7 linked regions of the Sus scrofa genome follow. The protein of the gene in region 4 interacts with the protein of the main gene of each other region in a pairwise test. Links are inferred from orthologs where the notes say so. Each region holds a gene or a part of one and is shown on either strand. Other genes may lie near its edges.

Evidence for each region.
Region 1: the proteins of CCNDBP1 (region 4) and MRPL15 interact in binary tests that used the Homo sapiens proteins (3 or more experiments, as listed by UniProt). The two-hybrid records come from large-scale screens. The link is inferred for Sus scrofa from reciprocal best matches to the Homo sapiens genes CCNDBP1 and MRPL15.
Region 2: the proteins of CCNDBP1 (region 4) and PSMB10 interact in binary tests that used the Homo sapiens proteins (3 or more experiments, as listed by UniProt). The two-hybrid records come from large-scale screens. The link is inferred for Sus scrofa from reciprocal best matches to the Homo sapiens genes CCNDBP1 and PSMB10.
Region 3: the proteins of CCNDBP1 (region 4) and ILF2 interact in a two-hybrid assay, tested with the Homo sapiens proteins (2 studies listed by BioGRID and IntAct). The two-hybrid records come from large-scale screens. The link is inferred for Sus scrofa from reciprocal best matches to the Homo sapiens genes CCNDBP1 and ILF2.
Region 5: the proteins of CCNDBP1 (region 4) and C7H6orf226 interact in binary tests that used the Homo sapiens proteins (3 or more experiments, as listed by UniProt). The two-hybrid records come from large-scale screens. The link is inferred for Sus scrofa from reciprocal best matches to the Homo sapiens genes CCNDBP1 and PEX39.
Region 6: the proteins of CCNDBP1 (region 4) and PIMREG interact in binary tests that used the Homo sapiens proteins (3 or more experiments, as listed by UniProt). The two-hybrid records come from large-scale screens. The link is inferred for Sus scrofa from reciprocal best matches to the Homo sapiens genes CCNDBP1 and PIMREG.
Region 7: the proteins of CCNDBP1 (region 4) and RPLP0 interact in binary tests that used the Homo sapiens proteins (3 or more experiments, as listed by UniProt). The link is inferred for Sus scrofa from reciprocal best matches to the Homo sapiens genes CCNDBP1 and RPLP0.

What each region holds. Positions count from the first base shown.
Region 1 is NC_010446.5:77,073,021-77,077,069, reverse strand, and holds the start of MRPL15 (39S ribosomal protein L15, mitochondrial), read left to right. Parts: upstream 1-1,247; 5' UTR 1,248-1,529; coding exon 1,530-1,637; intron 1,638-2,407; coding exon 2,408-2,562; intron 2,563-3,528; coding exon 3,529-3,694; intron 3,695-4,049.
Region 2 is NC_010448.4:28,544,810-28,549,109, reverse strand, and holds PSMB10 (proteasome subunit beta type-10), read left to right. Parts: upstream 1-1,500; 5' UTR 1,501-1,598; coding exon 1,599-1,654; intron 1,655-1,865; coding exon 1,866-1,953; intron 1,954-2,043; coding exon 2,044-2,141; intron 2,142-2,235; coding exon 2,236-2,376; intron 2,377-2,647; coding exon 2,648-2,763; intron 2,764-2,873; coding exon 2,874-2,932; intron 2,933-3,752; coding exon 3,753-3,904; intron 3,905-4,025; coding exon 4,026-4,137; 3' UTR 4,138-4,200; downstream 4,201-4,300. UniProt on the Homo sapiens protein: The proteasome is a multicatalytic proteinase complex which is characterized by its ability to cleave peptides with Arg, Phe, Tyr, Leu, and Glu adjacent to the leaving group at neutral or slightly basic pH.
Region 3 is NC_010446.5:95,979,512-95,983,670, forward strand, and holds the start of ILF2 (interleukin enhancer-binding factor 2), read left to right. Parts: upstream 1-1,350; 5' UTR 1,351-1,472; coding exon 1,473-1,477; intron 1,478-2,177; coding exon 2,178-2,237; intron 2,238-2,453; coding exon 2,454-2,496; intron 2,497-2,937; coding exon 2,938-3,042; intron 3,043-3,427; coding exon 3,428-3,505; intron 3,506-3,608; coding exon 3,609-3,711; intron 3,712-4,159. UniProt on the Homo sapiens protein: Chromatin-interacting protein that forms a stable heterodimer with interleukin enhancer-binding factor 3/ILF3 and plays a role in several biological processes including transcription, innate immunity or cell growth.
Region 4 is NC_010443.5:128,266,725-128,270,758, reverse strand, and holds the start of CCNDBP1 (cyclin-D1-binding protein 1), read left to right. Parts: upstream 1-1,234; 5' UTR 1,235-1,361; coding exon 1,362-1,515; intron 1,516-1,690; coding exon 1,691-1,750; intron 1,751-2,042; coding exon 2,043-2,122; intron 2,123-4,034. Other genes in the region: TMEM62 (transmembrane protein 62), read left to right, coding at 323-649. UniProt on the Homo sapiens protein: May negatively regulate cell cycle progression. May act at least in part via inhibition of the cyclin-D1/CDK4 complex, thereby preventing phosphorylation of RB1 and blocking E2F-dependent transcription.
Region 5 is NC_010449.5:37,986,229-37,989,467, reverse strand, and holds C7H6orf226 (uncharacterized protein C6orf226 homolog), read left to right. Parts: upstream 1-1,211; 5' UTR 1,212-1,898; coding exon 1,899-2,237; 3' UTR 2,238-2,726; downstream 2,727-3,239. UniProt on the Homo sapiens protein: May be a peroxin involved in the PTS2-mediated protein import pathway.
Region 6 is NC_010454.4:50,900,425-50,904,492, reverse strand, and holds the start of PIMREG (protein FAM64A), read left to right. Parts: upstream 1-1,254; 5' UTR 1,255-1,352; intron 1,353-1,880; 5' UTR 1,881-1,915; coding exon 1,916-2,209; intron 2,210-3,555; coding exon 3,556-3,818; intron 3,819-4,068. UniProt on the Homo sapiens protein: During mitosis, may play a role in the control of metaphase-to-anaphase transition.
Region 7 is NC_010456.5:40,221,133-40,225,137, reverse strand, and holds the start of RPLP0 (60S acidic ribosomal protein P0), read left to right. Parts: upstream 1-1,194; 5' UTR 1,195-1,219; intron 1,220-1,464; 5' UTR 1,465-1,512; coding exon 1,513-1,566; intron 1,567-2,477; coding exon 2,478-2,653; intron 2,654-2,753; coding exon 2,754-2,841; intron 2,842-2,978; coding exon 2,979-3,125; intron 3,126-3,231; coding exon 3,232-3,417; intron 3,418-4,005.

The sequences.
Region 1 (4,049 bases), on a different chromosome or scaffold from region 4:
CTGGCAGCTATAACTCCAATTTGACCCCTAGCCTGAGAACTTCCATATGCCATAGATGCGGCCTTAAAAAAAAAAAAGGAAGTAGCTGTGCTCCACAAAGTTATTTCTTACTTACACTAACAGGAACAGCAGGAACAACACCCCAGACAGTGAAACAAAAAAAAAAAAAAAAAAAAAAAAAAAAATTAGAAGAAAAAGAAAGAAGCATGGTCTATATTACACTCACTTAAGACAAAAATAGGGAAGCTCATATTTTATTCAGTGAAAATGTTACGTATTTTGTGCTGCAGATATTCAGCTTCATGTTATAAAAAAATATTACTTATGTAATAGGAGCCAAAGTACAAATCTTGTCTCTGCGGCTTGCTGAGATCTTAGTCCAACTACCAACCCTGCCAAGTCTGTCAAAGGTGATAAAACATCTACCCCACGAGGAGTTGTTTAGTTGAACAAAATGAGGCTGAATCAGCACGTGACTGACATACCAAGCACTCAGCCTGGCTCCTTCATTATTAACAGCTTTTGAGTTAGTATCTCAGTGACTCAGTCAAAGCATAACAGAGGCACTCAGACTGGATGCAGGGTTTTGAGTCTTTTTCACAGTTGCTACTAGCCAGCCATTGCAATACCTAGACCTCAGGTATTCTTATCTCACTGGTGCCAACTAAAAATTGGCACTAGCCATCTGTCTCTCCTAGGATTGTTAGTAGCCACTGCAGCTGCTGAGCTTCAACACATACTGAAAGCATGGAGATCAGAAATGTGCTCTGGGAAAAACTGGCAGAACAACTTTCACATAGATATTTTCGGGGGATTTTATGAACCCAAATTTTTACATCTCCTGTCTAGAAAAGCCGTAAAGTCATTAACCATGGTATTTGTTCCTGATGACTAGCAGGAAACGTCTGCCAAAACGTGTGCTTGATTGCACGTACCCCCTTCACTAAAATCGTATACACTGACCTTCCCCCTACCTCTTCAAAGCAGTTCCTCAGAGGTCCCTGAAACGCTGTTTCCCAGACTTTATAGTCATTTTGCCCCAAATAAAACTTAACTTCCAACCTTTACATTGCACAACTTTTTTTCAGGCCATAGTGTATACAACTGGCCCAGCGCAAGCTAGTGCTTCAGCGTCCAGGTGATCTTATTCTGCACTCCACCTGGAGCTCAGAGACAGCCCTGCTTCTAAGGACCAGACGTTGTGACAGCACAGGCCAGGGACTCCTACACACAGCGTTTTCAGTGCCTGCCTGGTGCAGCGCAAGAGAACGCTGCACATTCAGAGCCGGGGTCGGGGCACGACCTCTCGAAATAGCCCAGCCCCAACCAACTGAAAACAAAGCCGGATCACGCCGCTACGAGGTAGACATGGGGAGACACGTGCTGCCTCCAACGCGGAGCCGGCTCCCGGTGTGCCCCGCGGCAAGCGGCGCAGCGGACTGACAGCACGACAGGGGCGGTGCCGCGGCCGTAAAGCAGCGTCCCAGATCACGTGGATCGGCGCCCTTGCGGCTTTTGCGGCACGGGTTATGGGCGGCCCCGTGCAGGGCGGTGGGCCCCGGGCCCTGGACCTGCTGCGAGCCCTTCCCCGTGTGAGTCTGGCCAACCTGAAGCCGAACCCGGGCTCCAGGAAACCGGTAAGGCTGCGGATGTCGGCGCGGTGGCGGGGTCCTGAGGGTTGTGAGTCCATAGGCTCTGGGAGGAGGGAGGGGCTGCCGGGCCCCAGGTCTCCTTGAGTGACGTGGGAAAACCTGACCACGTGGTTTCAGTTCTCTGCAAGGTTCGGGTTTAAGAGCATAATTATTTTACTATCGAGGAGCGAAATCGCAGGAGTTAAAAACGACTGTCTCGTTAAGACGGGTTTTAATGAAGTTTTTTCCATTGTGTCTTTATCTTTATAGGAAAGATACTATGTTCGATGTTTCTTCTGTAAATCTCTGAGCTGTTAGTGGACGTACTGTCACTTTAAGAACTCCTTGATTTCGTGAAGTGACAGGAAATTAAGTTAAATAAAATACTATATATGGGCAACAGTGGCATATTTACAATTAATTTCAAAATAAATGCACTTGAATATTACATAAATTTTGCTAGTCGTGGATGTTTAATTCTAGAATTTTCTTCAATTCCCGCCTGTCATAGAATCCTTTTTCTCATCTCATTCTTGGAACTTTGCCTTTGAAACACAACTTGGTTGCAAGAATCAGCTACGTCTTCAGAGGCAAAGCTGTTAGTGTTGAGTATTTGGATTTCAGGGCAGCCAGGATGGTGTCTGGAACCTTGTAAATTTGGCTATTGCTAGCTGGTTGGATGAATGAAGGGCATAACCAAAAGATACAGCACAAAGGTGAAATATGATTTAAACAGATGCGTGTGTGGATCATAAAACATTCCTCTTTCCTTGTAGGAAAGACGACCAAGAGGTCGGAGAAGAGGCAGAAAATGTGGCAGAGGCCACAAGGGAGAACGGCAGAGAGGAACCCGGCCCCGATTGGGCTTTGAGGGAGGCCAGACTCCATTCTACCTTCGAATCCCAAAATATGGCTTTAATGAAGGACATAGGTAACTTTGCTTTGCTTCTCAACCTGAAAATCTCTAATTCTTACTGAGAATCACCTAAAAATAGCTTGGTAGAAATTTAAATCCACTTGAAGCAAACTTGCTCCTGTTGCTGTGACCCACTTTTGGTAATGAAACTTAGCCTGATTTAGTAGGGAAAAAAAAGCCAGACTTTGCACTCAGACCTGCCAAATGGAGATACTTACAGAGCCTGCTCTTGAGGTTGTTTAGCACAACAATATATATAAAAATCTGGTCCTCTATCATCACCCAATACATGATAACTACCATTACTTTGAGTTCTTTTTTTTTTTTTTTGTCCTTTCTAGGGCCGCTCCCACAGCATGTGGATGTTCCCAGGCTAGGGGTCAAATCGGAGCCGTAGCTGCCAGCCAGAGCCACAGCAACTCGGGATCCGAGCCGCATCTGTGACCTACACCACAGCTCATGGCAATGCCGGATCCTCAACCCACTTGAGCAAGGACAGGGATCGAACCCGAAACCCCATGGTTCCTAGTCGGATTCGTCAACCACTGAGCCACGACGGGAACTCCCCTAGCCTTGTCTTTGACCTACACCACAGCTTATGGCAATGCTGGATCCTTGACACACCGATCAAGGCCAGGGATCAAATCTGTGTCCTCATGGATACTAGTTAGGTTTATTACCCTTGAGCTGACGGGAACTCCCTGAATTCCTTTAGTGAATAATTCAGATAGTGTGTTAAATTTTTCAGTATTTGTTTATATGTGTGAGTGAAGTAAATGCTTAGGCCAGTAATTTTTAAGGAAACAAAGTAAGTACTTAATGGTTTTGTTTTGTTGCCAAAATTCAAGGAGTATTACATGTTTATAGTATACTCAGGAGTTTCATTAAACCATCTAAATTGAGGGAGGAAAACATAGGACAAAGCCTTGGATCTCACAGGAAGATAAGTCTGACTGCGTTTTCAACTTTCTTGTTCTGCAGCTTCCGACACCAGTATCAGCCTTTGAGTCTCAATAGACTGCAGTATCTTATTGACTTGGGTCGAGTTGATCCTACACAACCTATTGACTTAACCCAGCTTGTCAATGGCAGGGGTGTGACCATCCAGCCATCTAAGAGGGATTATGGTGTCCAGCTGGTAGAGGAGGTAAGTCTGGATTCAAGTTTTTGGAATTACATAGAAGCCTATTTCTGATTTCCATTCAGTCCACATGCTGCTGCCTTTATTTTGATCCCTTTTGAGTTGTGATAACCATTATGTGGTGGCGCTTGTGCTCTGCTCAGTTGTGGTTTTAGAAAGCTGCTGGCTCTCTCCGGTGGGACAGTGGCAGGCCATTCCCTGGTCCTGGAATGCTCTTCTCTGTGTCTGTTCTCCTTGCTCTCTCCCTCCCTTTGACCTCCATTCAGATGTCATCCCAATAGGAAGATCTTTCTGACATCCTTTATAAAGCAGCCATAAGCAGCAGCCTTACTATGCCCAGGGGGCTTTTCTTTGAACATAT
Region 2 (4,300 bases), on a different chromosome or scaffold from region 4:
CAGCAGAAACGAATCCAACTAGGAACCATGAGGTTGTGGGTTCTGTCCCTAGCCTCGCTCAGTGGGTTAAGGATCCAGCGTTGCTGTGAGCTGTGGTGTAGGTCACAGAGGTGGCTCAGATCCCGCGTTGCTGTGGCTCTGGTGTAGGCTGGCAGCTACAGCTCCGATTAGACCCCTGGCCTGGGAACCTCCATATGCCGTGGGCACAGCCTAAAAACCATGAGTCACAAAGACACATGTACTCCGATGTTCATTGCAGCACTATTTTCAATAGCCAAAACATGGAAACAACCTAAATGTCCATCAACAGAGGAGTGGATTAAGAAGATGTGGTACATATACACAATGGAATATTACTCAGCCATTAAAAAGAACGAAATACCAGCATTTTTAGCAACATGGATGGACCTAGAAATTATCATGCTACGTGAAGTCAGCCATACAATGAGATACCAACATCAAATGCTTTCACTGACATGTGGAATCTGAAAAAAAGGACAGACTGAACTTCTTTGCAGAAAAGATACTGACTCACAGACATTGAAAAACTTATGGTCTCCAGAGGAGACAGTTTGGGGGATGGGGGGATGTGCTTGGGTGTGGGATGGAAATCCTGTGAAATCAGATTGTTATGATCATTATACAACTACAGATGTGATAAAGTCATTTAAGTAATAAAAAATAAATTTTAAAAAGGACAAAAAGACAAAAATAAATAAATGAATAAATAAATAAATAAATAAATAAATAGGAAAGAGTATGACCAGATTTCCAATCTAGTAAAAAGCCCCGTCTCTGCAGGGTAGAGTGTAGCCTGTGCTGGAAGATGAGGGGCAGGAAGTGTGGGGAAACCAGGGAGGCCAGTGTAGAATCTAGGGGAGAGATACTGCTAGTTGAGATAAGCAGTAATTAGGAGAAAGATCTGGATAGATCAAGGGTCATTTGGGAAGTGAAAAAAGGCTTGGCCATGGGTAGAGCCCAGAATGTGTATGGGCCACCAGATGAACAGCCATGGCACCGTTCCTGAGAGAGAGAAAACAGCACCTGAAACAGGGATGATGGAAGGATCGGCATTGCCTTGGCCAAGGATTGAGCCTTGGAGTCTGAGGTTTGATGGAAAAGGCTAAGGCAGCAAAATAGGCAGGAGTTGGGAGAAGGAGAGTAATAAAAGACAATAGGCAGCTGATGCTGTTGGCAGGCCAGTAACAATGAGATCAGAGACTTGGTCAGTGTGACAGCTTGGGGCATTGGGACTTGCAATTAGAGTTGGGGTCAGAGTAGGCAGAGCTCAGGGCTCAGGCGGGACAATGGCCAGAAGGGAGGTATTTGTTGCTGTATCAGACAGAGGCCTGGGAGCAACATGGAGAACCAGGCAAGGGACATCTCACCCTTGCCAAGCTGCATAGGACCAGAGGTGAAGGTGAAAGTGAAAGAGGATGCAGAAAGGAGCCATCATGCTGTGAGGAAATGTGAAAGCGAAAGCAGTTAAGCTCAGTCGTGCAGGACAAGGACAAAGGACAAGGCTGTGGCCTTCTTTGCTTGGTGCTGGTCCTACTCCTCTGACCTCCATACCCCTGGACTGCCCTGCCCACCTGGACATGCAGAAGATAGCGCTAGAGCCCCTAGGGGGCTTTTCCTTTGAGAACTGCCAGAGGTGAGTGGGGGGATGATTGGTCCCCAGCTGCCTAGGTCCTCAGTGAGGGTCTCTGGGAGTGGGAGAACCAGGATCTTTAAAAGTAAGACGACGACTTGGGTTCCGAGGCTTACATGGAGAAGTGAGAGAAACGTGGACGGAGTTGGAGAATGTGATTGGGGGAGGGGGATCCCATAAGAAAAGAAACCTGAGACTTTTCCCTCCGTTCCAGAAATGCATCCTTGGAACGCGCCCTCCCTGGGTTCCGGGTCCCTCACGCACTCAAGACGGGGACCACCATTGCAGGTCTTGTATTCCAGGTGAGCAAGAAGTTGTGACTGTGGGGCGTGGAGGGGCGGCCGGGAATAGGAAGTGGGCAATGACCTAACGGCTTCTCCCCTCTTCTCCAGGACGGGGTAATCCTGGGCGCGGATACGCGGGCCACTAACGACTCGGTCGTGGCGGACAAGAGCTGCGAAAAGATCCACTTCATCGCCCCCAAAATCTAGTGAGCATTCCTCTCAAGAACTGCCCCTTAGTTCCCCGTCCCTGGTCTCCGCACACCTTAGCCCCGACCACATGGACCCTCCCTTCACCCTCAGCTGCTGTGGGGCTGGAGTAGCCGCGGACGCCGAGATGACCACGCGGATGGCGGCATCCAACATAGAGCTACACGCACTATCCACCGGCCGCGAGCCGCGCGTGGCCACTGTCACTCGCATGTTACGCCAGAAGCTCTTCCGGTGCTGGAGCTGGGCTAAGACGACCCTGGGGAGGGGCAGTTGCAGGGAAGGTGGGGCTGATAGGAGGTGGGACAAGAGGAAGGACAGGGCTGCGAGGTGCCGGGAGACCGGAAGAGGTCAGCCTAAGAGGAGTTAAGAAGGCAACCGGAAGCAGCAATGTCAGTCATGGGGCTCCAGACCACGGGAAGGGGCGGGGCTCGGGTGCAGGACCATGGAGGGGAGGGACCTGGGTCCTGGTTTGTTTGGCTGACTGCGCCCACTTGCGGAAAAGGTACCAGGGCCATGTGGGCGCGTCGCTAATCGTGGGCGGCATAGACTTCACAGGACCCCAGCTCTACAGCGTGCACCCCCATGGGTCCTACAGCCGTCTGCCCTTCACGGCCCTAGGTGAGCCCTTCCATCCCTTCCCCACGAATCCCACGTATACCATCCTGGCCTCCCGTTTCTCCCGCGACCATGCGGCCGCGGCTGACCTCAGATACCCCTCCTGTCTACAGGCTCCGGCCAAGATGCAGCCCTGGCAGTGCTAGAAGACCGGTTCCAGCCCAACATGACTGTGAGTGACATCTGCGCCCCACTAGGCATTGCATTGGTGGGAAGTGCACTTGGGAGCTGGGGAAACACAGAGGTACCCTGGCCTAATCCGGAGGTCAGGAAAAGCTTTTCAGAGGTGATGACTGAGTACAGGAGGAGAAGCCAGTGGAGCGAGGGTGGAGAAGTGCAATTCCAACAGACCACTGTCAATGCCAAAGCTTGGACTGCATGGAGAGGTCAAAACTCAGAGAGGACCATTTAGAGCTAAGGGAGGAGAGAACAACAGGTGGGGTCTGGAGTCTGGGTCTTGTTTTGAGGTGGATGGAAAGAGAGGCATATGTCACTTCATAGGTGCCTAAGGCCCAGAAAGAAAAAGGAAATGAGCCTGGGATTGGGGGCCAAGACTACACTGGGTGAGTGAATAGGCCCCTGGAACCAGAGCCACAGGTGTGACTCAGAGAAGTTTGTGAAGATGGGGCATTGGGAACACCGGGTCTCTGGAGAGAGGGAAACTGACACCCGGGGAGAGGAGCTTGAGGTGGAGATGGGAGTATAAGGTGAGAGCAGATGGTAAATAGCAGTGCCCGAGTTCCCGTCATGGCTCAGTGGTAACGAACCTGACTAGGATCCATGAAGATGTGGGTTCGATCCCTGGCCTTGCTCAGTGGGTGAAGAATCTGGTGTTGCCACGAGCTGCGGTATAAATTGCAGATGCGGCTCAGATTTGGCGTTGCCGTTGCTGTGGCTGTGGAGTAGGCAGGGAAGAGATCAGCAATCTCCAGGCTATAGCCTAAGGGTGATACCACAGTGTCCGTCAGGGCTTCACACATGCATTGTTACAGCTGGAGGCAGCACAGGGGCTGCTGGTGGAAGCCATTACTGCAGGGATCCTAAGTGACCTGGGCTCTGGGGGCAATGTGGATGCATGTGTGATCATGGGGACCGGTGCCAAGCTGCTGCGAACACTGAGCTCTCCCACAAAGCCCACAGAAAGGTAAGAGCATGGAAGATGGGGGAACAAAGGAGAGGATAGGGTGGCAGCAAGGGAGATGGGCTGCAAAGAGAGGATTGACCACGTGATGGGCCCATTTTGAGAGGTCATCTCTTCTTCCCAGATCCAGCCAGTATCGCTTTGCCCCTGGGACCACAGCTGTCCTGTCCCAGACAGTGATGCCGCTGACCCTGGAGCTGGTGGAAGAAACTGTGCAGGCCATGGATGTGGAGTGAAGTAAGCCTAGGCTTACTTGGAATAAGGAACAAGGAGGAATAAACCCAGAAAACACCAACACCTAAGCAGATTGCTGTGTTGTTCTTGGGTAGAAGGAGCAAGCAGCTAGCAGGGCTCTGTGACTAAGGTCCCTGCAGGGGCCACTCATGCCTATGGCTGCAG
Region 3 (4,159 bases), on a different chromosome or scaffold from region 4:
TGATAAATGCAGAAACATGGAAAAATTTTGAAATGTGCCAAGCAAAAGAAGCCAGAGGAAAAAGAACACATAGGCTGTGAGTCCATTTATGTGAAGAGCAGACGAAACCAATCTACAATAAGAGAAATTGGAATAGTGTTTGCCTCCAGGGGGAGAGCAAAGGCGTATAAGCCAAATTTGTCAGGTGCTAAAAATATTCTTTATGTTAATCTATGCGGTGATTACAAGGGCAGAATACATTATTCAAAAATATTGGAGCTGTAGATTTAAGATCTGTGCATTTTGCTGTAGTAAATAATACGTCAATGTAATACTTAAAAGTTACACAATAGTATATATAATTCTAGAGTCAGTGTGGTAAATTGAATTAAATTACTCCTGCATTTTTCACGAGGAGGGTAAAATTAGACTCTGCCCTTTCAAGGAGGCACGAAATTTTTAGGGTAACCACTGAGGGAGCAGAAAAAGTGCGTAACTTTCTATTGACAGAGGCAGGGAAGGAATAATAAATATTAGTCAGTGAAAAAGAAGGCAAGAAGAGGGAGAAACAGGACAAAGAGCAACTTGTAATATGATTGATTTAAATGCAACAGCAGTTTATCCTTATATGTGGCTGTGAAGCTTCGTTTAAGAGTAAAATCCACCAGGGAGGTTGCCGAGTGAGGAAAGGAGAAATGAGGGGATACTGGGCAAGAGGGATGGGTCTGGTCTTTTTCTCCAGTCATTTCCGTTGTTCTCTTCATCTGAACTCTCTTTCCTGAGGCTGTCTCAGTTTGCCTTCTAGCCCCTCCACATCAGTATTTCTCCTCTCCGATTCAATTATTATATTCAAATCCGCTTCTCCTGCCTCAAGTTTCTAGTCTCTGTGAACTACATCCAGACGTGTAGTCATAGTTGCCTAAGTCCCTTCCTATTCCATTTCGCCTGCTTGCGCCATTTGCCTGCTTTTGGCAAAAATTAGCTTCTAAGGAGGAAAACATAGGAGTGCGGTATTTACATCTACTAGAAAAACAAGAGTTTCTGTCCTGGAGTGGGAAGGAGGGGGGAAAAGAAAGAAAAGCTCTCCTAGCAGAGGATGGTTTCGATCCATCGACCTCTGGGTTATGGGCCCAGCACGCTTCCGCTGCGCCACTCTGCTAGCTCGGCAAGATATTTTTCAAAAATCGTATAGAAAGTTCTCTGAGTGTTAGCCAACCTGATTGCTCTACACCATGCCCCCTGGTGTCCGTAAAAAAAAGTCTTTCCTGTCAAGTCCTTTCTTATTGGCTGGTCCCTGACATAGTAGGGGCTTTTTATTGGTTCATAAACCCGGTTTGCTGAAGTGAACCAATAGGCATAAGTGGTGCAGAACGGCGGGAGCCAATCACGCCGGGGTTTGTTGGCATACGCCGGCAAGCCGCCTCTCCAGTTGAGGGCTTCTCGGAGGAAAGGGGCGGTTGGTGTGGCCTCCATTGTTCGGACTTTGGGACGCCATGAGGTAAGGGTCGTGGGGTGCTCTGGAAGGGTTTCGAGTATTCGACCAAAAACTTTGGGTACGCGGGCTGAAAGGACTCGGAGGTCTTGAAGGGCCGTGTATCTGGGGGCTGCACGGAAATCTGAGAACTCCCGCTTGGGAGCGTGGGGGAAGTCGGGGGCCGCGGAGGCGGGGAAACGTGGGCCAGGGATGGGGGTGGGGCCCAGGCAAGGGGAAGCGGGAGCGGGGGCGGTTAGATGAGGGGCTGTCCTCACCTCCCAGGAGGACCACCTCCCCACCCCGACCACCATCTAGACTGAGAAGGCTTGAACGTGCCTCGTTCATACTCCAGGCTAAGTGCTTGACGTATAGGGTTGCCGTTAGATGCTTTTACTAGTTACGAATAAATGAGCAATCTCGTTAGTCTCTGAAGTATTAGGGCTGGCGCGCCCCGGGAATTATGGGGCATTTCTTGTAGGGCTCACTGAACCTCGTCAGTATTTGATGTGATTAAATTACCCAGAAGGAGGCGGTCTTGGGGGTTGAGGCTGGGCGCTTGGGACGGATGGAGAGCAAGTGTTGTCAGTGGGAATGGGATCTCTTAGCTTCCAAACGGAAGTTCACGGAGATGGCGGTAAGCGAACTTGAAATCATATGGCCGGTATGGTGGAGGTCGTTTCAACGCGGTGAGAACCAAGTTAAAAATGTATTTATGCATTTCTAGGGGGGACAGAGGCCGTGGTCGTGGCGGGCGCTTTGGTTCCAGAGGAGGCCCAGGAGGAGGGTGAGTGCCAGTTTTTAGCATCTCTGCACACTTAGTTTCCATTTCAGTCACCTAAATGGGGTGTTTGGAGCGGACTAATCTTACCTGCTTTTGTGAGCTCCAGCTGTGGTTTAGAAGCATTCTTTCCGTGCTCTCCTAAATGAGAGTTCTGGCCCCTTTATGCTAAAACCACTTGATTTCTGTGGTGAATAATTTGACTTGTTTTTCATTTTTTAGGTTCAGGCCGTTTGTGCCACATATCCCATTTGATTTCTATTTGGTGAGTACCTTGACCGCAGTTCACTTGTTTCCTGGAGCCTAGGGTCTCCCTGTTAATAAAGTCAAATGGTGGTTGGAGTAGGAAAGGGGGTTAGTGAGTGGGATTGGGTTTTGAGTCAGCCTGTATTGCTTTACATACAAAAGCAGTGTAAACTGGGTGGGGAACATAGTTCCTTGACTACAGTTGGTAGTAACAGGATTAGAATCTTTGTTTTGAACAGTTAATTGTATCTTTGGTTTATCTGTTAATGTAACGGTAGTGAGAGCTTAAATTATGGCTCTTCTAGTTTCTATGCTTGTTTAAATATTTTATGGAGTTAAAAATAAGTGTTTTAGAATTTTCTCTTTTCAACTTTTTTTTGTTTTGTGGCAACAGGAAAAAACAATCTTTATTTTATGTTATTTTTGGTGGGTAGTATAAAATTGTTTATTTCTGGTTTAGTGTGAAATGGCCTTTCCTCGGGTCAAGCCAGCACCTGATGAAACTTCCTTCAGTGAGGCCTTACTGAAGAGGAATCAGGACCTGGCTCCTAATTCAGCTGAGCAGGTATATTCTGTTAGTTTTCCTCCTGAGATTTCACGAATGAAGTAGAGAAGTAAATAACTACTGGTGCCGTTACACTTATCAGAGCCTGCCCTCCCCAGAGGGTTTAATTGTTCTCCTTATTTCTCACTGTGGGTGGAGGGAGAGCACCAGGGATGATATAAACAAATTATGTGTGCATTTATATTTTTACTGGGGCATCTATCTTTGGATCAAAGTTTTCTCTTCTGGCATATTCAAAGCCAGAAGGGTCCAGAGTGTTTTCAGAGTCCGTTGTAGGTACTGATTGAGCCTGTATTGCAGGGATTAGGGGAAAACATTCAAACTTGATGAGAAGTTGCTTATCATGTTTCACCTTTATGGTATTTTTGTTTCCTGCTGTTTTCAGGCCTCTATCCTTTCTTTGGTGACAAAAATAAATAATGTGATTGACAACTTGATCGTGGCTCCAGGGACATTTGAAGTGGTGAGGTTTTGATGATTTAGTCCTAGGGAAGGGTGGCCTTGGTAGTGTGGAAGTTGCCTTGCTTGGCTCTAAGGTTTTTCTTCTGAAATTCTCTCTCCAACAGCAAATCGAAGAAGTCCGACAAGTTGGATCATATAAAAAGGGAACGATGACTACAGGACACAATGTGGCTGACCTGGTGGTAATCCTAAAGATTTTGCCAACACGTGAGTGTGCCTTTCCCTGGCCTTGGAAACAGAACATATTTGGGTTTGAGGTATAGGGATCTTTAAAGCCCATGTATCTTGTGTGAAAGGCTGTTTAGAAGACAGGTGGGAAATATATTTATTTTGGCGGGTGGGAAAATTTTTTTAATGTGTCGTATCTGAAAAAAAGTATGGCCAGTTACCAAAGGGCAGTGTGTCTCAACTGAGGGTGGTTTTGTTCCCCCATTTGGCAGCGCCTGGAGGTGTTTGGGGGCTAATGTTTTTGGGTAGAGCTCAGGGTCACCTCTAAGCATTCTACAGTGCACAAGACAGACCCTCCCTTCCAACCCCAAACAAAGAATTATCTAAGCCAAGAGGGCATTAGTGCCACTGCAGAAAAAGATGTGTGTGCTGGAGGGGATGTCCTATTCCCTGAGCCTTCCAGTTTCTCTGTCCAGGTGTTAACTTT
Region 4 (4,034 bases):
ATATAGGAAGAGAAAATATTGATACCCTATCCACCCTCACTCTGCCTAAAAAAAAAAAAGAGTATTGTATATACTTAAACATTATTTGCCGCTTTCACATAAATAAAATGCCTTTAATGTGAATGAAAGGATACAGGCAAATAAACAGCTAACTAAAAATTGCAAGTGTTATAAGCAAGTGTGATTGAAACATAATGAATCAGATTGTTAACTCCCAAGAGAGAAAGCAGTATATTTTTAGGAGCCACCAATAATGTGTTAGTGAGACCCAACTCCTCCAGGACTTGCTCATAATCTAATGGTTCTGTTCTGCTCTTTCCAGCTGGTGTTTTTTAACATCCCCTTGATGGCTTACCTGTGTTGGAGTTTGCTGCAGCGGTGCTTTGGTCACAACTTCAGGTCTCATCTCCGTCAAGGAAAATACTTGAAAATTATACCTGTTCATCTACTTATGTTACTGCTGTACATCTGGCAGATTTATTCCTGCTACTTTCTTCATATGACATATGGCACTCTAGCTTTATTATTCTCCCCTTTGCGGACCTGGCTGACACTGGTGACACCTGTTCTCATTCGTTGTGTGTGGACACTGAACTCCACAGAGCTTGGAACCTTCATAGTGCAGTTAAAAAGCCACCTGAGTTCCTGAAGGCCATGTCTCATCATCCAGCTCTAGCCCAGGCCTCTGCCCCCCGAAACAGGCGGAAGGCCAATACTAGTAGGCAAGCTTCAGGGAGCTGCTGTTTCTTGGCCGCCTGGGAGGTGGGGGGATTCCCCACTACTGATTTCCTGCATAATGGACTGCAGGAAAAAAATCTCTAAATAATGCCATGATTCCTTCCTTCCCTAAGAAGGCAGAAGGTTGATTTACTTTTGTGAAGAGAGAGCCCTAATCTAGGAGATCCACAGGGCAGGAGCTGGTGTGTTTGGTAGTATGTGAACCCAGTGTTTTTTTAACGTTACCTCATGTAAAGTACCTAGCACAGTGTCTGGAACTCAGCAGGGGACAAGGGCGCCACCACTTGAGGGGCAGGGAACCAGTGCAAACTTGGGCCTGACCCTGACTACCCTTGATTAGTTCCTGGTCCTCTTTTCCCACAGGGTTCTCTGCTTCCTCTGTCGGAGGTGTTTGCCACTAATCAAATAAATGAATAATGAATAAGAAATAACTCTGCGTCGCCTTGCGTGTGTGGTCAGGGCCCGGCGCGGGGGTGGAGTCACGTCGGGGCGGGGCGGGCGGCTTCTCTTGTTGCCGGAAGCGAACCCGCATCCGTGACGCCCGGAAGTGGAGTGGCTACTGCTGTGCGGCTCAGGCGGCTTCCGTGGCAGCTAAGTACGCTGGCTCCCAGAGTCCTACTGGGATGGCGAATGCAGCTCCCCCTGATGCTCCAGTCCCCACCCTGGCTGTGCCTTTGGAGCAGCTCCGGCACCTAGCAGAGGAGCTTCGGTTGCTCCTTCCTGGAGTGCGGGGTGAGCTGACACAGTGGAGACGGACCCCCACAGGGACCGGCGTGGGTAGGGAGAAGCCGGGCCAGGGCGGCGGCGGCACCAGGGAGCGAGGGATGGGGGAGTCGGGGGAGGGGAGGGCGGCAGGGCCCGGCGGGAGCGGAGGAAATGGGGGCCTCAGGTAGCGCCGCTTACCTCTGCTCTTCCTTTTGCGGTGGCCCGGCCCACACGCCGAACCCACTAGTCGGCGAAGCCCGGGAGACTACCAAGGAGTTTAATCGGGAGACCTTTTGGAGAAGATTCAGTGAGTGCCTCTCTTGTTGGAGACTGCCATCTCTCATCTCTTCAGTTGTCCCTGTCCCTTTCCTTCCTGCTTTTCCCCGGCCTGTCCCCTCTGTGGGGATACCTCATCTTACCCATTCTCGGCATCTCTGAGGTTGAGATTTAAAACACTGATTTTTGGAGGTGTTTTGAGACGTCTAAGCCGGCAAGGGTGGAGAGGGAACGTGTTATCTTCACAGCCCGTCCAGCAGCTGCAGCCTTATCCGTTTGGCACTAACATACTGGCTTCTGCCTCCTCCTCTGACTCTTCCCAGATGAGGCAGCTGTGACAGTGTCCACGGAAGCCACTACTCTGACCGTAGTCTTTTCCCGACTTCCACTGCCATCTCCTCAGGTGGGCTTTACTTTTCTGGAATCCTTGTAGTGCCTCTTTATTCTTTAGGAATCCTTTCATTTTCTTTCATGTTTTACACTCAAAGCAAGGGATTTCTTTCTTCCTTCCTCCCACCCTCCCTTTCTCCCGGACTTCCTTCTTTCCTCCTTTCTTTCTTTCCTGCACCCGCAGCTCTCGGAAGTTCCTAGGCCAGGAATCAAACATGAGCCACAGCAGTGACAACACCAAATCCTTAATTGCTAGGAGATCAGGAAACTCCTTAGCGTGGAATTTAGTTTTCTCATCTGTCAAGTAAGATTGCATATCTTATTGACTTCATAGGAACATTAACCTCAAGAGTTCTCATATCACAGGAATATTCTGAAAACCAAGTTGTCAGGTGCAGTACTTGACATGGAGTAGGCAGCTCTTCTAAACATTGGTTCTTTTTTTGTGTTTGCTTTTTAGGGCTGTACCTGTGGCATATGGAAGTTCCCATGCTAGGGGCCAAATTGGAGCTGCAGCTGTCAGCCTATGCCACAGCCACACCAGATCCAAGCCAGTCTGAGACCTACACCACAGCTCATAGCAACGCTGGATTCTTAACCCACTGAGCGAGGCCAGGGTGAAACTCGAGTCCTCATGGATACTAGTTGGGTTTGTTACCACTGAGCCACAACAGGAACTTCAGTGAGTTCAATGAGGTTCAAAATGAACCTCAATATTGGTTCATTTTGAGGTTCATCCTGGTTATTTCCTTTCTGATAATTTTTTATTTTAAGCACTTGCTATTTACTGGGTGTTTTCAGATACATGATCCCTATTTGACAGATGAACAAGCAGGCTCAAAGGCTTCGGTTAAGGTAGATAAGTAGGGGTGCTAGGATTAAAATTAGGTTCTGGGATTCTCTTGTGGCTCAGCAGGTTAAGGATCTGGCATTGTGACTGCTGTGGCTCTGGTTACAGCTGTGGCAAGTGTTCCATCCCTGGCCCAGGAACTTTGGCATGCTGTGGGCCCAGCCAAAAACAAAAACAAAATAAATTAGGTTCTGTCTCATGTCTAAGCTACACCTATTCTGTTATACTACAAAACACCTTTTTTATATTGAATTATTTTTTATAATTAGTAACGATGAATTAGTATAAAATTCAAAAGATATCAAAACCTAAATTAAGTGTGCTGAAAAGTTTATATCTCCCCTCGCTTATTCCTTTTGTGTTATTCCCTATATATACTATGAATATACCCACTTAACGTGTATGTGCCTACTTCTTCTTATGGTAAAATATCTTAAACATTTTTCTGGACTTTCCTTTTTTTTAAAAAAATTTAACAACATAGCTTGAAAATTGATTTTTAGAAGTAGGTATAAAGTTGCTCAATTCTTTGTAATGGCTGTGTGATATTCAATAGTGTGGATATAACTATAGTTTATGTTTGTCTTTTTTTTTTTTTTTTTTTTTTGGTCTTCTCTAGGGCTGCACCTGCGACATATGGAGGTTCCCAGGCCAGGGGTCCAATTGGAGCTGTAGCTGCCAGCCTACAGCACAGCCACAGCAAAGCCAGATCCAAGTTGCATCTGCAACCTCCACCACAGCTCACAGTGGAGCAATCCTTAACCCACTGAGCGAGGGCAGGGATCAAACCCGCATCCTCATGGATCCTAGTCGGGCTCCTTGCCACTGCACCATGATGGGAACTGCCAACCATAGTTTATTTAACCAGTACTGTGTGGACATTTAAGCTGTTTCCAACTTGTAACTGTTATAAACAGTGCTGTTCTAAATTGCCTAACACAATCTTTGTTTATATCTGTATATCAGTAAAAATTCCTAAAAATGGAATTGCTAGATAAAAGAGTGTATGCTTTAGTGTAAAAACCTTGAAAGTAAATATTGTTGGCTGTGGCCAGGTATGCTCTATGTCCAGTAT
Region 5 (3,239 bases), on a different chromosome or scaffold from region 4:
CTGGACCAGCCAGATGAAGAGGCGCATAGGGCAAGGTCTGGGAGGGTCCTGCATGCAGGGCTTCTGTGTCATTCATCTCCTCCTGGAACCAGGGCATGTCCCCTCCTGATACATTGATGAGTTCACCAATCAGGAAGCTCCACTGAGCTTTGTGTCCAGAGTTGCTTTAGGGGTTTTATTACATAGGCATGGCTGAATAAATCATAGGCTGGAGACTGAATTCAATTTCCAGGCCTCTTTCCTGGACCCTTCATGAGTCAAAGCCCCAACCCTCCAATCACATGACTGGTCAGCACCAATCCTGAAACCACTTAGGGGCCACCATGACTCACCTCCTTGGCATAAACTGTCAGGGCCCACCATGAATATCACTTCTAATACTTGGGAAATGCCAGGGACAAAGACCAGTCAAATTCTTCTTTTTTGGGGGGGCTCTGTGCCTTCAGCAATGTGGAGGTTCCGGGGTCAGGGATCAAACCCATGCTATAGCAGTGACCTGAGCCACGGCAGGAATAGCTCCAAATCCTTAACCCTCTGTGCCAGCTTCAGATACTTAACCCTCTATGCCACAAGGGAAGTCCTCAAATTCCTTATTATACAAGACTTGGTATGGTCAGTTTCCTCAAGACTGGCTTCTCAAGGTCACCCTTATTAACTTTTAATTTCAACAAGTTACAAACCATTTAGATCCACCAATTCCAGCAATTTTTCCACATTTGCTTTTTTTCCCCTCCCTTTTTCGTTGTGACATTTCACCCATAAATACTTCAGGATGTATCTCTTATAAACAAGGTCATTCTCTAACATAGCCAGAGCACAATTGTGTACTTAATTTAACACTGATATACAGTTAAACTGTATCATCTGTTATTAGATGATAACACTGTCATCTAATACACAGGTCAATTCAAAATTTCCCAAGGGTTAAAATGTCCTTTGTAACTGATTTTCCCCTCATCTAGATCCAATCCAGGATCACACTTTGTATTTTTCAGTCTCCTTTAGTCTGACACAGTTCCTCAGTCTTTTTCCTTCTGTCTTTGTCTTTTATGACACTGACAACTATAAAGTGTCCAGGTCATTTTGCAGAATGTCTGTCATTTTGGTTTGTCTACTCATTTCCTCAAGTTTAGATTCAGAGTGAACATTTTTAGCAGGAACACTACAGAAGTGAGGCTGTGTTCCTACACCTGCAGCCCCTCTCAGTGCATCACTTCAGGAGACATCTGATGCTAGTTTGTTCTATTACTATTAATTAAGCTTTGCTCACTTGATTAAGGTGGTGAGTGTCGGATCTGGCTAGTTTCTGATAAACTTAGAAACCTGAGCTTTATTGACACTGACTTCCTAAGCAGGTGGAAGGAAGCTGTAGCAGCCTGGTCCGCCTTCATCTTCTCTCTTCCACTATGGGAACACCAGGAATTGTCTTGAAGGCAGGGAATGGGGAGAGAGCCGTGGCATCACTTATTCCCAGTTCTTCTGAAACCACTTGCAGACATTTCCTCCGTTATTTTCTGTCTGGTGCTGCAGGAGCCCCGGATGGAGGTTATCCTCCTGCCACGCATCTATGCAATAATCCCTGTACTCTATGCACTTCAGCGTGTGCATGAAAGCCGGTATGTTCGTGATGCCCGTGCATTTGTGAAAATTCGTGTCTTTTTACCTATATCTCCGTGTCAGCTGTGCAAGACTTCGGGGTTCTAAAGCTTTCAACGTTAGAGGCTCTTGGGCAGGGTAAGCCTTAAGTGTGAGCGAGGCGTTTCTTCGCGGAGCTGGTCGTCCAGTGCTCCCCCGCTCTCTGGGCTGCTTGGTACGGTCTATGCTCCCCCCTTCACTTCCTCCTACAATGGTTGCATCCATCCCTCCCGGAAGAGAAGCGCGCAGGTTCGGAGCCTGTCATGGAACAGCCAGGCAGTTCAAGCCCTAGCGGCGGAGGTCCTGTACCGGAGAAGTCAGCCCCGGCCTCGGTGACCCTGGCGCGTCTTCTGCAGCTGGTGCAGCAGGGCCAGGAGCTTCCGGGCCTGGAGAGGCCTCTTGTCGCGGCGACCCTCAGCGAACCCACGGCGTCCCAGCTCCCGCGGAGGCCCAAGCCCTGGGAGGTCTCAGCCGAGGCCCCAGGGCCGCCCTTCCAGACCGCGGGCCACAGGCCTGCCGACCCTCCCTGTGGGCAGAGGAATCGCCTGGAGGAGCCTGACTCGGAGAAGGGTACTACCGGCGCCTTACTAGGTGGAACTTAGTGGATTCTTGAGGTTTGAGATCCTTTATAGCTGTGAATGAAAAACGCCTGTCAAATCTGCGAGGGATGCTGCAGTCGTGAAGCCATCAGCCAATACTGCCGCCCACCCAGCGGTGGAGACAGATGGCTGCCTGCTGCCAAGCCCTGAGCCACTGCGGCCACCCCGACGGGGGCACACTGAGGGAACTGAGACTGGGAACAAACAGGATGCTGGCTCTGGAAAGCCAAGGTGCATATCAAAGGAATGATTTAAGTGAGCCCAGACTCTGGCATCTTCCCATACATTGAAAAGTGCTAAATTCATTAACTTGAGATGTCTGGTTTTCTTTAATTAACACTACTCTTTTGATGGTCTGACTACCTGGTTTTTGTTGGAAAACTCCTGTATATCCTGGCTTCTCCCTTAGCTCTTTGGAGCTATTTGCGAGGCTGCCTCCTGGCCTTGAGTCCTCAGAAAGTCCACCAAATAAAGCATAATTTTCAAGTTTTAGGTTGTGCGGGGGTTTTTTGGTTGTTGCTGTTCTTTTTATTTGTTTTCAGTTAACAGTTTTGGTCACCATGAAGGGACCCAGAGCAGACTTCTCTGCTTCACCTGAACTCTAGGAAGAGGTCTCTTGTGCCCAACCCCCTCCTTGGAGAGGCCAGGTGAATTTGGGTAAGTCCCTCCTGCTTCTCTGATTTCCCAATTAATGGTTCATGATCCTGAGTTTTATTTGATAGTGTCTATATTGCTTACTCCCCAGTTGAAAGATACTGGGGATTGACCTCTTCCCCAGTTGATAGATGCTAGGGGAGCTCAGTTGAAAGACACTGGGAGAAAATGCCCCACCAGCTGAAAGATAACTCGGGGAGGTACTGGAATTTGCTTGGTTGAAAACATACTGAGCAGTCTGGGCTGAAAGGTTAGGTAGAAGGCTGACCTGACTATTTCCTCAAATTGGCCACCTTAACAAGAATTTGTTGGCCCAGCGGAAATGAATCTGACTAGCATCTGTGAGGATGC
Region 6 (4,068 bases), on a different chromosome or scaffold from region 4:
TTGCTGTGAGGATTAAGGAACACTAAAGAAAGGAAACACGCTTAAAGCTATTGTATCTATTGCATTCCTGCCCCTGCTGTAAGTGCCAGGCACGGGACAGGTACAGATGGACAATGGCAACAAGACAATCTAATTGGAGATAATTTGTTTCTAAGCATGGCATCTTCAGTGAGACTTTCCCGCTAAACGTTCAACTTAGTTTCTAGAAAAATAACTCTTCTTTCCCCCTCATATTTCATTGGTAGAGGACATGAATTAAATTCCCTAATTACAATAACGAACTCAGCAAGTGTACAAGATGTGTGGGAACCAGTACTTCCGACGCCTGGGAAACAACTCGACTAGGGGATGAGGTTGAACAGGCGCAACAAAATGGCATTTTTCAAACCGCAGCTCACCACTCTCAGTGAGCCATTGTAAAGGAAGTAGGTTGTCATCAGCATTTTGAAAAATGAAATAGGAAATAAAATATAAAAGCACCTCACATATAGTCAAGTATCATTTTAGGAAACTCTTCAGTTACACAAGTGTGTGTGCTGGGGGCGGGGCTGTCTCACGATGGGTCCTGGGCCCCCAAACATGATGTTCCTAGTGCGAGAACCCCACTTCTAAACGGCGGCTTTTTGAGCCGGTTTGGATGCTAAAGGGAGGGAGAGGTACTCAACTGGGTGGAGGGGAGGGTCCTTGGGACGGGGTGGGGGGCGTACGTATAGGAGGTGGAGAAGCGCACCCTGTCCCCTGGTGCAGGATGGGTTTTCCTGGAGGTTAGCGTGGGTGGCAAGTTTGAGGAACAGAGGGGCAGTGCCTTGTCTCAGGAAGGCAGAGGGTCACGAGGGAAGTTTGAAACAAAACTTCCACAGGAACCCAGGGCTCCGAGCTCCCCGCCCAGGCTCTTTGTGACAAAACCGCCGAAACCTCCAGGGGGATCGGAGGGACCGCTAGGACCCCGGGACCCCGCCTCCGCCCCGCCCAGTCAGACCTACTGGAACCCTTTGTAGTCAAGGAGGGGACCCAGCAGCCCCAGGCCGAGTGTCAGGAGGTGGCGCGGGCGGCTGGATCTGCGCGGAACAAGGATTCTGCAGGCAGCGCGGGCGGGACCCTCAAATACAAAGGGTCTCGCAGCCCTGCCGAGGTCAGGAGGGATGAAAGGGGACCGCCGGGCCAATCCGATAGCAAGATTCACAGTCGCGAGCTCAGGAGCCAATCGGACCCCCGGAGCAGCAGCGAGGCGGGTACGGAGCCAATCATCTGTGAGGAAAGGGCGAGGGGGCGGATCCGCGTGGAGTTTCAAATCGGATGGGTGGGCGAGGAGCAGCTGTGCTCAGCGTCGGGTCAGCGTTGGACGCTGCTGCGTGAGTACCGGCCAGGCGTGGTGGGGCTTCTGTTCAGAAGGGACAGGGAGGGGGTGGGGAGACACTAGTCAGGACGGGCTCGGCACGTGGGGCTTCTAGGTATAGGCAAGTGGAAATCAGGGTGTCTGGTCAGCCCAGCGGAGCGCGTTGGGTCCGGACGAGCTCGTGAAGAGCCGCTAGTCCTGATCTGGGCCAAGTGCTGAGGCTCGGCGACAGCGGGTCCTGACATCCTCCCTCCCTGCTTGCGGCAGATAAAGGAAAGGGGCAGGGATGAAATGACAGCTGTTTCAGATACTTGCAGCTGGAGATGCCTTTGCTCACAAGCCTTGTTCAGCCTCTGTGGTCTTCTGGGCCTCGCTGAGCCCTCCCTCTCCAGGAAGCATGCTCCTCACTGCACTTGCAGTTGCCAAGTGCCCCACCCCATGGGCTTCCATCCCATCTCTTCCCCTGGGTCTCAGGGTCTCTGTGGAGCCTGGGAATGAGATGGGGGCGTTGCTTTGCTGACCTCCCCTTTGATCCCCTCCCCAGGGTCTGCTGGGCAGGACAGACTCTCGGCCAGGCAGATGTCTTCTCGGTGGCCAAGCGTGGGGGTCTCCATGCGTCGGAGATCTCTCCAGAACCAGGAGCAGCTGGAGGAGAGCGAGGTCCTACAGCCTGCAGTCAGCCACCCGGATACCTCCAGTGGGGCCTTGGGATCCCTCTGCAGACAGTTCCAAAGGAGGCTGCCCCTGAGAGCAGTCAGCCTCAACCTTGGGGCAGGCCCCTCCTGGAAACGCCTGGAAACTCCAGAACCAGGGCAGCAGGGCCTCCAGGCTGCAGCTCGCTCAGCTAAGAACGCCTTGGGTGCCATGTCTCAGGTAAAGCTGACCCTGTCCAGGTATGGAGGGCTTCCTAGAGGCTGGACAATGGCTGCCTCCAAGAATAGAGACACCGAGAATACAGGGACTTGGACTTGCTCCTCGCTGTGTCCCCAGCACTCCCAGTAGTTCCTGGCACATAGTAGGTGCTCAACAAATAGCTGAACAAGTGAATGAAAACGGTGTTATGGAGCAAACAGAGCCTCACAAGACAAGACACTAGAGCTCTATTGTGATAGAAAATGGCAAGCAAATGGTGGGGGAAATACCAAAAAGAATTGCAGTCAGTGAAGGCTTCCCGGAGGTGGTGACTCCAATAGAATTCACCCAGGAAAGGGGAAGGAGGAGTGTACAAGGCAGGTGAAATAGGCTAGGGTTGAGAGAGAGCATGATGCTGAAGAGAACGTTCAGGAACTCAGTCTGGATATGGCTGGAGGACAGAGAGCAAGATGGAACATTACATGGCGAGGGGGACCGGCATGCTGAGTATGTTTAGATGTTCCCAGGAGCGACAGGGAGCCAGTGGGAAGAATTTTCAACAGAGTGGGAATGGGGTCCGGTTAGCCTGTCAGAACTTGTTCTTTAGCTACTTGATGGAATGCGGGTGAGAAGCAGACTCACCCCCAAAGGGGGCCTGGTGGCCGGGCCATACAGAGGAGTGAACAACTTCAAGAACTTCTCAGAAGGTAGATTTGAGAGGATCTGGCATCCAGTGAGACATGTGCCCAGGAAGATGCCACAGGTGTTGCGGGTGACATGTGCCTGGGCCTTCCAAGTGGGTGTATCTCCAAACTGGGGGCCGCGGTGTGGGGAGGTGTCATCCAGGAAGGCGAGGAGCTGTGAGTGTGGACACGGGGCGGGGGGGCATCTCCCTGGGGTCTGACCGGGAATCTGAAGGTGCAGGAGAGGGAGGCTGTTTCTGGACCCTTTGCGAAATCTCTGAGCCTAAGGCCGGTCCTTGAAAATGATGTCTGGGCAGCAAGGGGGAGGGTGGATTTGAGCGGGGCAGATCGAGGCAGGGAGAGCGATCAGGTCACAGTATCCTGGGGGCAGACGTGGTCTCTGGGCCTCCCCTTTGAGTCTGGGTCAGTCCGTGTCCTGAAAGAGGGTTTAAACTTAGACCAAGCAGACACCCCCCCCCCCCCGCCAGGGCGTTCCTACGGCGACCACGCACTCCTCCTGGGGGGCTCTGGGCTGGGTCCCTGCTGTGGCCCCTTTCACATGGGCTCATCTACATCCCTCACCCTGAGACTAACAGCTTCCTGGACGTGTCGGACCAGCCTGGGGACACTAGGGAATCTCTGCCTTGGCTTGTCCTTGCTGATGGTGCTGTGTACCTGTCACAGAGATTCCAGGAGTCCTGCCACAGCGGCACTAAGTGGCTGGTGGAAACCCAGGTGAAGGCCAGGAGGAGGAAGAGAGGGGCCCAAAAGGGCAGTAGTCCCCTGGCTCGCAGCCTGAGCCACAGGAGCAGCCAGCTGTCCGGGGCCGCCCCTGCCTGCTCCACCCTGGGACCCTGGGACCCTCGGGCCGTCCCTCGGCGGCGGTCCAGGAGAGAGGCCGCCTTCCGGAGCCCCTATTCCTCAGCAGAGCCCCTCTGCTCCCCCAGGTAAGTGGGGTGCTGATTCGCACTGGGGCTCCCTGGAGCCAGGACCACCCTAAGCTGAGTCATACCCGGGGCTCTGGCCCAGCTCTGCGTCCCGAGAGGGGTGGACCTGGGGAGGCCTTTCAAGGCCTTAGCTTCCCATCTGCAAAGGAAGGGGTGAGCTTGACTCTGAGAGAATCACAGTCCCTGGGCTCCTCTGAGCCCAGATGCGAGTTGTGACGCCATCGGAGGGCTGAGGCTCAGTCTCAAGTGG
Region 7 (4,005 bases), on a different chromosome or scaffold from region 4:
CATATCTCGCAGTAATCCTCATAACAGTTCTAGAATGTGAATACTATTATCTCCATTTTACAGATAAAGAAACAGAGTCAGCAAGGTGAAATCGCTTCCTGAGATGACACAACCAGCAAGTGGCAGAACAAGAATATGGATCCAGGTTATCTGATTGCAAACCCTGCATTCTTTTCTTCAACAAATATTTAGCATATGCCTATTATGCCAGGTATAAGGCAAAAATAGAGACACGAAACAATGTAACAAATTATATAGTGTGCTGTGTAAGTGCTATAGGAACAGAGGAAAGAGGGAGTGGAAGTGGGTTTTCTTTTTTTTGTCTTTTCTAGGGCGTGCAGCATATGGAGGTTCCCTGGCTAGGGGTCGAATCGGAGCTGCAGCCAGCAGCCTACGCCAGAGCCACAGCAACGCGGGATGCGAACCGCGTCTGCGACCTACACCACAGCTCTAGGCAACGCGGGATCTTTAACTCACTGACGGAGTGCAGGGATCAAACCCGCACTCGAATGCGGGTTTCTAGTCGAATTCGTTAACCATGAGCCACGACGGGAACTCCATATTATTATTTTCCTTTTAGGGGTGGAATGGGGAGCTGCAGCTGCGGATTCGAGCCGCATCTGTGACCTACGCTGCAGCTTGCTGCAAAGCCGGATCCTTAACCCACTGAGCGAGGCCAGGGATGGAACCGGCATCCTCACGGAGATTACGTCTGGTCTTTAACCCGTAGAACCATAATGGAAACTCTGAGACTTAGGTTTTAAAGCATCCCTTTGTTTCCAAAGAGCGAAGAACTGTAGAAGAAACAAGAAACCATTCTGCTTCTCAACCATGTACAATTATTTCTCAGCTCCACGTCATACTCTTCAGCTTGCGACTTGGCCAGGTGACAGAAGGAAACGTGGACTCAGGTCACAAACTCTAGCTTCTCTACACGAGAACAGCTCCAGCCCAGCAGAGGGAAGCACCTCTGAGAAACCTCCTTCCACACACAGCAGTGCTTTCTTTAGCTACCGTGTTTAAAGGCAGCGTCCCGTTGGCTGGAGTGGCAGCGATACCATCCAATGGCTGCATAGATCAACCCAGCTTCTCCAGACAGACGTTGAAGCCAGCCAATAGGCGGGGGCGCTGTCTGCGGCTTTGGATTGGCTGTTTTGTTCACATATAAAAGACTCGCGCCGGCGTACAGCCCTCCTCTCGCCAGGCGTCCTCGTGTGAGGTCTGTTCGTCCGCTGTGGTAGCGTAGGGGACTGGCGGCGGGAGAAATGAGGCTTTCGGGTATATTTTCGGGGGCCGCGGGGTCCAGGCCTCTCTGGCCTGGGGCTCCGCTGGCGGCAAGTCCAGGGCCCGTTCGGGCCGCCGGGCGCGGGAGAGTGGTCTCCTCCCCTAGGCCTCGGGTTTGGAGCCCGCCGCTCCGTGGGGACGCGTGTTGGAGTATGCTGAATTTTCTCTCTTTTTTCTCAGTGACATCGTCTTTAAACCCTGCGTGGCAATCCCTGACGCACCGCCGTGATGCCCAGGGAAGACAGGGCGACCTGGAAGTCCAACTACTTCCTTAAGATAATCGTAAGTGCGGGGTAGGTCTCGGCCGCCCACTGTGGTGCCTTGCCCGGGGCAGTAATAGGGACAACCAGCGGCCAGGTGCTGAGTGCCTGCAGGTGGCCAACCATCAAATTAGGTCGTTTTAGGCAAGTCTTCTTTAATCTTAATAATTTCCTGAGGTCAGCGTTCCTCTGCTTCCTTGTGTTGCAGATAAACAGGCTCAGGCAGGTTAAATGGCTCTTAAGAGTACTTCTAAAGATCTCTGGTCATACTTTTACTTTTTTGTATCCATCTTTGGGGAAGTCTGAGGCACTGAATGATTCATTATAAAGAGGCAAGTTGCTGCAGATTTAGATCCTGTCAAGAAACTAATTCAGTGAATGTTTTCTTTTGGGTGGCCTTGAGGTGGGTCTTCGCTGCCCAGAATTGTTGATCATCAGGTCATGCTGCTCTTTAGGCGTTAGGCAGCTTTGTGGACCTTAGTCCATTATGTTTTCCATTTTTCATGATTTTGAGACAAAAAACTTAAAGGAATTTTTCAATGATCCATACTTGAAACCTAAATTCTACAAGTAATGTTTTGCTGTGTTTGCCTTACTTTGTATTTTCAAAACTGGGTTTTGTTAATGCAGCCATTTTAGTGGATCAGAAACATGCCTTAATTGAGAAAAATTAAGAATGGAAGCTACAATTAAACCTTTGGGTTGAATGTAGAAACATGATCTTACCATTCATACCCCACAAGCAAATCTTAGGCAAATCTGGCTCTCACAGCTCAGGTGCCTGCTAGTAGGAGGAATTGTCTTAACCTCAGACATTTGAAAAGCATAAAAAGGAGTGAGTGAAACGGAAACTTGAGATTGTGGGATTTGGTTTTTCTTGATCCTTTCTTTTTCCTTCTGTTAACATTGCTCGTGTCTGGCTTGTTTGGGCAGCAACTTCTGGATGATTATCCGAAATGCTTCATTGTGGGAGCAGACAATGTGGGCTCCAAGCAGATGCAGCAGATCCGCATGTCTCTCCGCGGGAAAGCCGTGGTGCTGATGGGCAAGAACACCATGATGCGCAAGGCCATCCGAGGGCACCTGGAAAACAACCCAGCCCTGGAGAAGTCAGTCATTCCTCCTGGGCATCTTTGTCCATCCTTCTCCCTTTTCCTGGAGAAGAATGGTGCTCAAAGTTAACCGTCTCTTGTAAACTTCTCTTTGCAGACTGTTGCCTCACATCCGGGGGAACGTGGGCTTTGTGTTCACCAAGGAGGACCTCACTGAGATCAGGGACATGCTGCTGGCCAATAAGGTGAGGGGAGAATCAGCTTGGCTGAAGAGGCCTTATCATTAATTTTGGCTCCTTAAAAGCAAGAAAAAAAGAAGACAATCTTTTTCAGGTTGTAGCTGTGGAAAGAAGTTTTCTCATTGTTTGTCCTTTTTGTTCAGGTGCCAGCTGCCGCCCGTGCTGGTGCCATAGCCCCATGCGAAGTCACTGTACCTGCCCAGAACACTGGTCTGGGGCCTGAGAAGACCTCCTTCTTCCAGGCTTTAGGCATCACCACTAAAATCTCCAGGGGCACCATTGAAATCCTGGTGAGTGGGCCTGGCTTGGCCTGTGCCAGCCAGGCAGGTGGCGGGGGCTTGGTTGCTGTGGACCTGCTGGATGTCTGGGTTAACTGTCACCTACCTTGTTTTTCAGAGTGATGTGCAGCTGATTAAGACTGGAGACAAAGTGGGAGCCAGTGAAGCCACGTTGCTGAACATGTTGAACATCTCCCCCTTCTCCTTTGGGCTGATCATCCAGCAGGTGTTTGACAATGGCAGCATCTACAACCCTGAAGTGCTTGACATCACCGAGGAAACTCTGCATTCTCGCTTCCTGGAGGTACAGGCTGTCCATCCCAGGCCTTTCATTTTTTTTTTTTTTTTTTTTTCTTTTTAGGGCTGCACTCGCACCATACGGAGGTTTCCAGGCTAGGGGTCTAAACGGAGCTACAGCTGCCGGCCTATGCCACAGCCACAGCAACACCAGATCCGAGCCATGTCTGCAACCTACATCACAGCTCACAGCAACGCCAGATCCTTAACCCACTGAGCGCGGCCACGAATTAAACCCACAACCTCGTGGTTCCTAGTCAGATTCCTTTCTGCTAAGCCATGATAAGAACTCCTCCAGGACTTTCTTATATTAATAGTTGAGAGCATATCTAGCTTCAGAGGGAATCCTGGCCATGCGGCTGACTTGCAGTATAATAATCAAAGACAGTTTAATCTCTTATCTCAGTTTCCTCATCTGTAAAATGGCAAGAACAGTATAAAATTGATGAAGGATTTAACAAATTAATGAGTATACAGTGCTGGGCACACAGTAAGGGCTGTTATGCTAGGGCCTGTAATAAGACATGAGATTTCGAATAGAGTCAATCAGTGAAAGGAAGAATGAGAAAAATGAGGTAGTTAATGGATGAATGTT